3 linked regions of the Cricetulus griseus genome follow. The protein of the gene in region 1 interacts with the protein of each later gene in a biochemical or structural test. Links are inferred from orthologs where the notes say so. Each region holds a gene or a part of one and is shown in the gene's direction. Other genes may lie near its edges. The genes, in order: Cftr, Prkaa1 and Pdzd3.

Region 1 (2,488 bases):
TATAATACTACAATAGGAGTAGAGTAATTGAATTTTACTTCATTGATACAAATCCCCATTCTGATACCATGCCTGCAAGTAGGGGCAACAAAAAAATTGTCCAGGAGAAAGTCACTATTGAACATGTACTTATTTTCTTCCATAACATCCCTGTTTCCTCTCCTGACTGGAGTCTGGAATTTCGTACAAACACTTCAACATCATCAACATATGATGAAATATTTACTTAGGTGTAAACACTCTGTTTCTTTCTGTATCTTTATCCATCTCTATATTTTTATTACAAATTCATTAATACTGCAGAATAAAGAACTGATGATGAATCTACATAAAATGTAGCTTCATTCTTCATGAAATTTCTTATAAACATTTGTCTCATTAATGTATGAAATACTTAGAATGTATCCCTTGTTAGAAAGATGACCATGGCTAATTCTGTATCAACATAATGGTAAAAGTATTTTTTAAGTAAAGAACTAAATCTATAGGACACTGTGCATATTGTCAAAGGTAAAGGCAAATTATACTTATGTGGTATTTTCTTGCTTTGCTAGAACCTACCAAATAATTCGAAAGGTTCTAAAACACACCTTCAGTGGTTGCACAGTAATCCTCTGTGAACACAGGATAGAAGCAATATTGGATTGTCAGCGATTTTTGGTGAGTCTTTTATACTTCTTCAGTGTCTCGTTCCTAATTTATTATTAACAATCTTACACATCAGTTACTATAAACTATAGTCATGTGTCCCTTCCTTCATACATATGCCACACATCTTCCAGCTCTCCTAGGTGTGGCTACATGTGTCCTTTTCCTTTGACTTGAGCTATAATGTGCTGCTGAAATTTAGCACACTCCCAGTGGTAGCATATTGCTAAATGGCATTGTAGACCAAGCATCTGTGCTTTCAGGTCTTTATTTGGGGGAACAAGTTATAAAATGTACTATTGAAAAAATACCTGTTTCTTTCAATAAACTAAACTCCCACTGGGGAAGATAAGGGATGGGCTTTACTGTCTGTGGTTTTAGTGCAATAGGAGAGAAGCCTGTTTAATTATCCTCATTACGTCTAGAAGTCAGGTTAGTGCCCTTGTCGGCCACCTTGTCATTTTCTTTGCCAACTGTTGTGGAGGTAAATGCTCTTCTTACCAAAGCGTTTTTACTCCTATTGTCATTACTCAGCTGCAAGTGACTATAGAGAAGATGCATCTCTTGTTCTGCTGGGGTCAAATTCAGGAACTGGGTAACGCTCTCTATGGCCTCAGACTTGCAAAACGTTAACATGCATTGCAGGCATTATAATCAGTTATGCCTAGCCAATTTGGAATTGTTAGGCCTCAGACTCGGTTTTGATGAAGTTCAAAGTTTATGGTATGGTTTATACAGCTCATCTTAAGAGTATATGAGAGATGGATCATGGATCATTCAGGTTTACAAACCTCTTTCAGTTGCCCTACAGTTCTCTGAAGGAGTGTAACACCTGGCATTAGATGACTTTTTGAAATTCCAATTGCTACTTTCAGAGCCATTCATAGATGTAAAAGTTAAGTAAAGTGTACATGGCTGTGAATTCTGCGTTTCCTTTGTATTTTTATTCTCCTTTGGGGCTAGGTCCGTTTCTGTTCCTGAGCTGGCTTGCTCTTCACTCTGTATGGGGTTTCACTAATGGCCTTTTCCCTAGGTCATTGAAGAGGGCACCGTGTGGCAGTACAACTCCCTGCAGGCGCTGCTGAGTGAGAAGAGTGTCTTCCAGCAGGCCATCAGTCCCTCGGAAAAGATGAAGCTCTTCCAGGGCCGCCACTCCACCAAGCAGAAGCCTCGATCACAGATCACTGCTCTCAAAGAGGAGACAGAAGAAGAAGTGCAGGAAACCCGTCTCTAGTGGCCAGGATGCTGGGGAAGCAGCTCAGTGGACCTGAGTCTATTCCCAGAATCCATGCAAAATGAAAAAGCCAGGCATGCCCTGTGCTTCTAACCCCAGGGCTGGGGACACAGGAACAGGTGGATCCTAGCAAGTGATCCTAGCCCACATAGACAGTTGCAGGCCAGGCACCTGAGAGACAGTGCCTGAAGATATCCTCTTGCCTCCACATGCAAGCACACATGAACACACATGCACATTAATAGCTGTATACAAAGAAAAACGAAGAAAAGGAGGAGGAAAAGGGAAAGATAAAAAGACAGACTCTAGAAAGCAGTGCAAATGATTGGAAAAGAATCATGCGGGATGTCTGTTCATGGACCCTGAGAAGGAGAACCCCACTATCTGTGCCTTTGAAAATAGGGTGAAGCCCCCATCTCTGCTTTTTAAGAGACTGTTTTGGAAGAGAAATCAAGAGCAATCCTATGGGTCTGGGCCACTGGCTTGCTAGTGGCGGCCAGATTGTTTGAAAGGCACTGCTTGACAATGGGCCACTTGTGTTTTGCAAGCCAAATTTTCCTGGAAACATTTGCCCCCCACTAGGAGCTGGAAAGGCAGTTATAAATG
Region 2 (3,656 bases), on another chromosome or scaffold:
TGGGAGGGTAGAGTGCCCAAATGGCCGAACCTTTCTGTTCATTTGTTTCCTTGAACAAATCATTGTTTTCTCTGGCTTTGTTTTATATTAGTAAAATGGTTCTTGGCTGAGATGATTTCCAAGATATCATCCATATTTCAAGAGATTGATTCTGTGCTTTTAATAGAAAAGACTTTTAGTGGTAGGGGATTTTTTTTTTTTTTAAATTAAAACTCAGGTTATTAGTTTCCTGGCTCTTAGTGTAAAAGTCAAGAGTGATAGATTGTGTACCCTGTGTGAACTGGTCATCCATCATAGGCATTCTCCATGCTGTGTGGAGAAACTGTGAGTGAGTGGCTTAATCCAGGCACAGTACCCCCATTTGAGAATGTATTTAAATTACACATGCTCTGGGGAGCTAGTCAGTAGTCTCACTTAAAGAATCTGATCCATACTGTTGGACCTCTCAAGGGACAAATAGTAACATGTGGGAATTCTTTTCACCCAGATGAAATAACAGAAGCCAAATCAGGGACGGCTACTCCACAGAGATCGGGATCCATCAGCAACTATCGGTCTTGCCAAAGGAGTGACTCTGATGCTGAGGCTCAAGGAAAGCCGTCAGAAGTTTCTCTTACCTCATCTGTGACCTCACTCGACTCTTCTCCGGTTGACTTAGCTCCAAGACCAGGAAGTCACACAATAGAATTTTTTGAAATGTGTGCAAATCTAATTAAAATTCTTGCACAGTAAACCTAAAACTTTGCTTATTTCTTTGATGCAATAAGCATGCATAATAAATTATAGCCAAACACTTCCACTTATCAAGTTTTACATATATATATATGTGTGTATATATATATACATATATATATGCATATATCTAAGGATTGGCCTTTGGAATGCAGTTTGCACAGGGATTGGAAAATGATAAAAGCCTAATGTGCGGAAATGAATTGGGACCATTCTGTTGTCCCTTATTCAATAGATATATACAGCAAAATATATACAGAATGGATTGTAGGTCTCACTTGATTTTTGACCATTTTAATTTGGTGTAACAGGGCTTTGTAGGCCATAAATTTACCATAAAAGCCTTCACATATGTTGATGTGTTTTATATTTGCTTCATGAATTAATTATTTGCCTAGAATTCCCCATAGACCTTCTTAAGTGATGCTGTTTTCTGGGCTCCTTAGCTTCTTAAATAGCTACTATTTCCATTTCTGGTAACATTGTGAACGATTTCCACAACATTAAAATGCTGTTTTGTGTGGTAAGTCATACCAGATACAGACTCAATTTAAATCTTTTCTTTAGCTTGTAAGCCCCCAAATCCATAGAATTTATGTATTCAGAAACCCTGAGCCCTAAGTTTACTTCTACAATTTCCCCCTTTGATTTGTATATGAAGTGCTGCTTTGGATCCAAGAGTGGAGTTGCTCATACTGTACTGAATCATGTTTTTTCACTGTCATGGATTCTTCTGGCTGTCATGCCAGCCACTGTTGAATGTCATTTGATTGTATATTTTTAATATTGATTCAGTGCATAGAAAGGACATTTTTTATAAGCTTTGAATACGTGGATTGGATTTTTGACCCCTGATTTTATTCTGGACATTTAAAAAAAAAATACAGTGATCGCATGTATGTCTACTACTTAGTTCCAACAACTCCTATTTGGCTGCATTTGCTCTCTAGATGCACATATGTACAAAAACAGATATGCATATATGTTTGAATGTATGTATGCTTTTGTTCTGAACCACTGAGATGTTAAGAAACACATACTCAGTCCTAAATACTTAAGCATCTCCTAAAAATAATATTGTCCTTTAAGAAACTCTTGAATGCATTATAAAACGAGTAATTTCCAGACAGTGAATGGCCTTCCATATTTATCTCTTAACTGTCCAGAATCCCGTTTATATTTACAGTCTCATTTCAGCTCTATCTCTTTAATCAGGTAAATAATATTCTGAAAAGGTGGAGAAGGGATCAGTTCTTAAAATGGTCAAGTTTATTTCAGGTTTTACTTTTAAAAAATTAGTGGCTATAGAAGTAATATCTTTCTTAGATCTCTGATTTCTATGCCTCTCCTCTTTCAGTGACAGCACAGCATTTGAGTTGTAAATGAAGATTTAAAGTCAGGGAAGATGAAGCTTGGTGTTTTATGAGCAAATAATGTCTTATTGTCCACATTTGGCTTCTATTGAAGTTTAAGAAATTGGGTATGAGGCTCTAGCTCAGTGGTGGTGTTTGTCTAGGATGCACCCAGCATCCTGGGTTTGATCCCAGCAATGCAAAAATACATTTTCTTTAAACATTAATCATTTTCCCTTTGCAGGAGAGATATTTTTTTCACTATATTTATTTTAATCCCCCTCACCCCCCAATGTGTTGAGCACTTACGTAACCAGAAGGGAATGAATTTGGAGGTCATGATAGCTTGGTTTATGCACTGAATTCCAAACAAAGATTATGATTCTTTTGTTCAGGGCTTGTTTTATTCAACTCCAATTTGGATGCTGTATAAAGTAATGGATCCTCCATTTAAATGAGTTCCGAACTGTATTTATACCGAGTGTGTTTGTGTGGGCGAGTGTGTGTGTGTGTGTGTGTGTGTGTGTGTGTGTGTGTGTGTGTGTGTGTCCTCTGTTTGGGGTTTACTGATATTACTTATGATGTCCAAATGCAGCATTGTGTTCCTGATGTGAAGAAAGGAAGAGTGTGTTTTTTTTAAAGTTCCAGCTTTGTAAATAGAACTAAGTAATATCTCTATAAACTGTGTGGAAGGGGAAGGGGCACAAAAGGAGGAACCAATTAAATAGGACCTTCTAAAAATTGTTAATTTTGTAAACTTTGCTTCTTTTATAAGTTATTCTGTGATTCCTTTTAGTTACCGAGTTTTATTTTGAAGATATTTAAATATTGCACTTGTATAAATAGTATGATAAATGCAGACTATTGCAGTCAATTTTTTCAAGCTAGGATATCTGAAATGATAACTTTCAGTTAAGTATGTCAAGCTTGCAACAGAATTTTCACAAATGTATTGTGAATGTAGTTTGCAAATTCTTATATTGAAAATGTAAGGGGAGTCAATGCAAATGATTTTTAATCTTTTTTTATTATCTTTTCAGCAGTTTATATTTTTTTGTGATTTTATGCAACCATATTTTTACTTTGTCTTGATAACTGAAAGCTGTATAAGTTTTTGCCAGAAAAGTACTGTATACATAGTTTTAAAATAACAGATTTTGCTGATATGTAAAAATTTTGCCATTAAAATTGATTTCTCATGAAAGGAACTTTTCTACCAAGTTGGGACACGTGGGAGCTTAATATATCTAATTTAAAATAATTTCATTGAAATAAACACCATTGCTTTTACTTTGATTATATTTTTTCTTAAGATGCTTTTGTAGTGTTTTGGAGTTTTAGATAATTTTATATAAATTCTCTCCCTTCCTTGCACCGTCCTTTGGACTTTTGATGCCATTCACAGATGAGCTAATGTGGTTGGGTGTGTAAGATCTGTGTTCCAAGTGGCATCTTGGGAATGAAAGAAAAACATGTCTAAATCTTTCTTTCTTCTCCTTAACCTCCACCTGATCATTGTGGACCCTGACAAGATGAATGAGATTCCACACACAACCTAACTGTGAAGTTGGT
Region 3 (3,756 bases), on another chromosome or scaffold:
CCTTTCTCACATCTTCCCTCCCCCCCTAAATAAATAACTTTTTTGGAGACAGGTTTTTTCTGTGTAACCCTGCCTATCCTGGAACTCACTCTGTAGACCAGGATGGCCTCAAACCCACAGAGATCCGCCTGCCTCTGCCTCCCAAGTGCTGGGATTAAGGCATGCACCACCACCTCCATGCTATAAATAAGTAAATTTTTTAACTTAGAAAAGTGGAGAAAGGAGATTTGTCTGAGGTGGCCATATGAAGAAGAGGTCCAGTGACAACCCCCTCCCCGCCCCCAGCTCATCTTTCAGGGTCCTGACCTGGGGTTTAGATTTAAATACAGGAGAGGGCAAGAGGTATGCCTACTAAGCAGTTCTGTCAGGGTGTGGTTTTGAACCACTGGTTCATTGACTCTGCTCCAGTCTGTCCTGTGAGGTGATCTGACAAATTGTCAGAACTCTGTGACATCTCTTCTTGGGAGACAAATTCTGGCTGGCACCAGGGAGAGCTTCATCTTTTTCTCTTCTCCAGTTTAAGATTCCTGGAGAAATTCCAAATCTTTGGGATCCAGTGTTTGAATAGTCTGATAGCCAAAGGAAAAGACATAAATATCTTTAGATAATTTTGTTGCTGGAGGGGCTGCATGTAAGACCCTGGGATGAGGTTTTCCATGCTGGGCCTTAGAATTCCAATCCCCCTTTTCATACTTACTGCCCCCAGCCTGGAATTCCAATGACCAGTGATCTCCTTTTTTTTTTCTGGACACAAGAACAACTGGGTTAGTTAAAGGCTCTCTTGAGACAGGTAGGGCCCAGGACTGAGAGCAGAAGGAACATAGACATTGACTTTCCAGAGACTAAGTCCCATTGCTGTTAACCATTACCCTATTGCTTCCTTGCAGCGTCTTCAAGGAGGCGTGACTCGGGAAGGGGCAGGTGGGAGGGTCAGCTGGTTATAATGAACCTTGTCCCTACTCTAAGTCCTGGGTCACTGATCCAACTATGGAGGCAACTGCAGGTAGGAGGTGGGGAGATATCCTTGAAAGGGGACTTTGGGCAGCAGCAGAGGGGACAGATTTGGAGTCTTTGGGTCTAAGACACACTTGATATTGGGGCTTGTAGCTCTGAGGCAATAGATAGAGCTAAAGAGGAGTGAGGTGAGTGTGTACGTCTATCTTCCTGGTTCACACCCTGTGCGGGTAGTCTCAGATTTATGTGCCACAGAACTGGGGAAGGGAAATAAGAGGGAGGTAACACTCCCGTGTGTGAAGATAGTGAAGCAGAATGGGAGGGGTCTGGGGTTCTCCTAAGCCCTTTCAGGTTTTTATCATGGAAGTTCCATCTCGGGGAGGAGTGTGTCTCTACTCTTACGTCTCCTTTGTCCAGCAGATCTTCGAGACACAGCTGCATTAACTCTGTAAGTTATAAGGGTTGAAGAAGAATCGAAGGTGTGTGTGGGACTCTCAGCTCTCATCAGCACCTCAAGTAGGACCTGGGACCCCAGTCCAGCAACGTACTCCTCTTACTTGCCTCTCTCTCCTGCCTCCTTACAGGAAGTTTAAGTTTAATCCAAGGCTGGGCATTGACAATCCTGTCCTCTCCCTGGCTGAAGACCAGGACCAGTCTGGTAACACCCTCACCCCTGGCAACCATTACCTTTCCCTAGAGACATTACAGTGCCACAGTCTCCTATCACCTTGGTAACCACTAACTGCCTCCCAGTGATATCAGTAACTAAGCAGAGGTAGAGGGAGGCAGCTCACCCTTTGTGTCAGCCACCTTGCCCATGAAGTGTCCATTCGGCTCTTAAGCCCACCCTCTCACTGTCTGGAAGCTATCCAGTGCTCTGATGGGACTCAGGGGCTACCAGTCATTTGATGGTCCTGTACTTGAACTGTGTCCCCTCCTTTTTTTTGCTGTCTACCTCCTCCTCTAGACCCCTGGAACCTGCGGCGGCCTCGCTTCTGTCTGTTGAGCAAAGAGGAGGAAAAGAGTTTTGGGTTCCATCTGCAGCAGCAGCTGGGCAAGGCTGACCATGTGGTGTGCAGGGTAGATCCAGGCTCTTCTGCCCAACGTCATGGTCTCCGGGAAGGAGACCGGATCCTAGCGGTGAACAATAAGAACGTGGAACACGAGGACTATGCGATGGTGAGGCTGGGCTGAGACTTCTTGTGGCACAAAGGAACACTCCATAGCACTTCTTTGCCTGGGCACTCTAATGCATTGGCCAAGCCTCACTCTCCCTAGTCCCCATGATTCGGAGGTACCCAGTTAGAGCGCTTTATAAAGACTCCTACAGAACTGATTTCTACAATGGAAATACAAATTCTAAGGGGGTCCTGGGATCCCACCAGGGGGCCAACCTCTCTCCCATGTCCTTTTATAGGTAGTACGCTGCATCCGGGCCAGCGGTCCCCGGGTCTTGCTGACAGTCTTAGCGCAACATGCACATGATGTGGTGCGCGCTCAGCAGGGGAGCGATGTCTTCTGTTGTCCTGCCCTAGGCCCAGAGGTCAGGCCCCGGTTGTGCCACATAGTAAAAGACGAAGGTGGCTTTGGTTTCAGCATCACCCATGGTGAGCTTAGGGCCAGATGGGATTGTCAGAGATGGGAAATTCAGACTCTGTTCCAGGCAAGGAGCAGACTGGGAGTTACTTTGTCTGCCTTTAGGAAATCGGGGCCCTTTCTGGCTGGTGCTCAGTTCAGGAGGAGCTGCTGAGAGAGCAGGAGTGCCCCCTGGGGCCCGGCTGTTAGAAGTGAATGGGGTCTGTGTGGAGAAGTTCACTTCCAACCAGCTCAGTAGGAAGGTAGGGCTTCCTGTGGCGGCTGCTACGTGAACCCCGCCTCCTGATCTGAGGGTCTGTATACGTCGCCCCTCTTTTTCTTTTCTCTACAGTTTGTGTGGGCCTGGGGGGAGGTGCTGAGGAGATATCTACCTCTCCATCCCCCCCATGGATGGTTCATGCTTCTACTCTTGCTGGGTCCCCACAGCTTTCGCAGAGTGGAGATCAGGTGACTCTGCTGGTGGCGGGGCCGGAGGTAGAGGAACAGTGTCATCAGCTGGGAATGCCTCTTGCTGCACCCCTGGCAGAGGGCTGGGCACTGCCTGCCAAGCCCCGGTGTCTAAACATAGAGAAAGGACCTCAAGGCTTTGGGTTCCTGCTCCGGGAGGAGAAGGGCCTGGATGGTCGCCTTGGTGAGTGGCAGCCCGAGGTGTGTGTGTGTGTGTGTGTGTGTGTGTGTGTGTGTGTGTGTGTGTGTGTAAGTGGGCCTTAGGATGGTCATATATATCCAGTTGCACTCTTCTCAGTGTCCCCGGGAGAGCATGGGGTGAGTCAGGGAGGAGAAGTGAATATGTCTATGTCCCAGGGCAGTTCTTGTGGGATGTGGACCCAGGACTGCCAGCTGACAAGGCTGGGATGAAGGCTGGAGACCGCCTGGTGGCTGTGGCTGGGGAAAGTGTGGACGGGCTGGGCCATGAGGAAACCGTGTCTAGGATCCGAGCACAGGGCTCTTGTGTCTCCCTTATTGTCGTTGATCCTGAGGCTGACCGCTTCTTCAGCATGGTGCGTAAGTGACAGGGTTAGGGAGGGGGTAGGGATGGAGCAGGGCTCAAGTGCCACAGGTTTGCTCTCTCTGCCCCCACTACCAGGTACGGCTGTCTCCTCTCCTCTTCTTGGAGAACACAGAGATTGCTGACTCCCCTCTGGCGGAAACCAAGGATCATCTAGTTGAAGATGCAGCTGAGCCTTCTGACACTGTTGGCTCCCG

The links.
Region 2: the proteins of Cftr (region 1) and Prkaa1 form a complex in vitro, tested with the Homo sapiens proteins (2 studies listed by BioGRID, with this or other methods). The link is inferred for Cricetulus griseus from reciprocal best matches to the Homo sapiens genes CFTR and PRKAA1.
Region 3: the proteins of Cftr (region 1) and Pdzd3 form a complex in vitro, tested with the Homo sapiens proteins (2 studies listed by BioGRID and IntAct, with this or other methods). The link is inferred for Cricetulus griseus from reciprocal best matches to the Homo sapiens genes CFTR and NHERF4.

Annotation. Positions count from the first base shown.
Region 1 is NW_023276806.1:208,285,479-208,287,966, reverse strand, and holds the end of Cftr (cystic fibrosis transmembrane conductance regulator), read left to right. Parts: intron 1-554; coding exon 555-660; intron 661-1,681; coding exon 1,682-1,882; downstream 1,883-2,488. UniProt on the Homo sapiens protein: Epithelial ion channel that plays an important role in the regulation of epithelial ion and water transport and fluid homeostasis. Mediates the transport of chloride ions across the cell membrane.
Region 2 is NC_048595.1:339,157,599-339,161,254, forward strand, and holds part of Prkaa1 (5'-AMP-activated protein kinase catalytic subunit alpha-1), read left to right. Parts: intron 1-487; coding exon 488-732; 3' UTR 733-3,656. UniProt on the Homo sapiens protein: Catalytic subunit of AMP-activated protein kinase (AMPK), an energy sensor protein kinase that plays a key role in regulating cellular energy metabolism.
Region 3 is NC_048597.1:155,936,296-155,940,051, reverse strand, and holds the start of Pdzd3 (Na(+)/H(+) exchange regulatory cofactor NHE-RF4), read left to right. Parts: upstream 1-987; coding exon 988-1,003; intron 1,004-1,374; coding exon 1,375-1,402; intron 1,403-1,538; coding exon 1,539-1,612; intron 1,613-1,921; coding exon 1,922-2,133; intron 2,134-2,371; coding exon 2,372-2,561; intron 2,562-2,655; coding exon 2,656-2,792; intron 2,793-2,976; coding exon 2,977-3,181; intron 3,182-3,354; coding exon 3,355-3,551; intron 3,552-3,637; coding exon 3,638-3,756.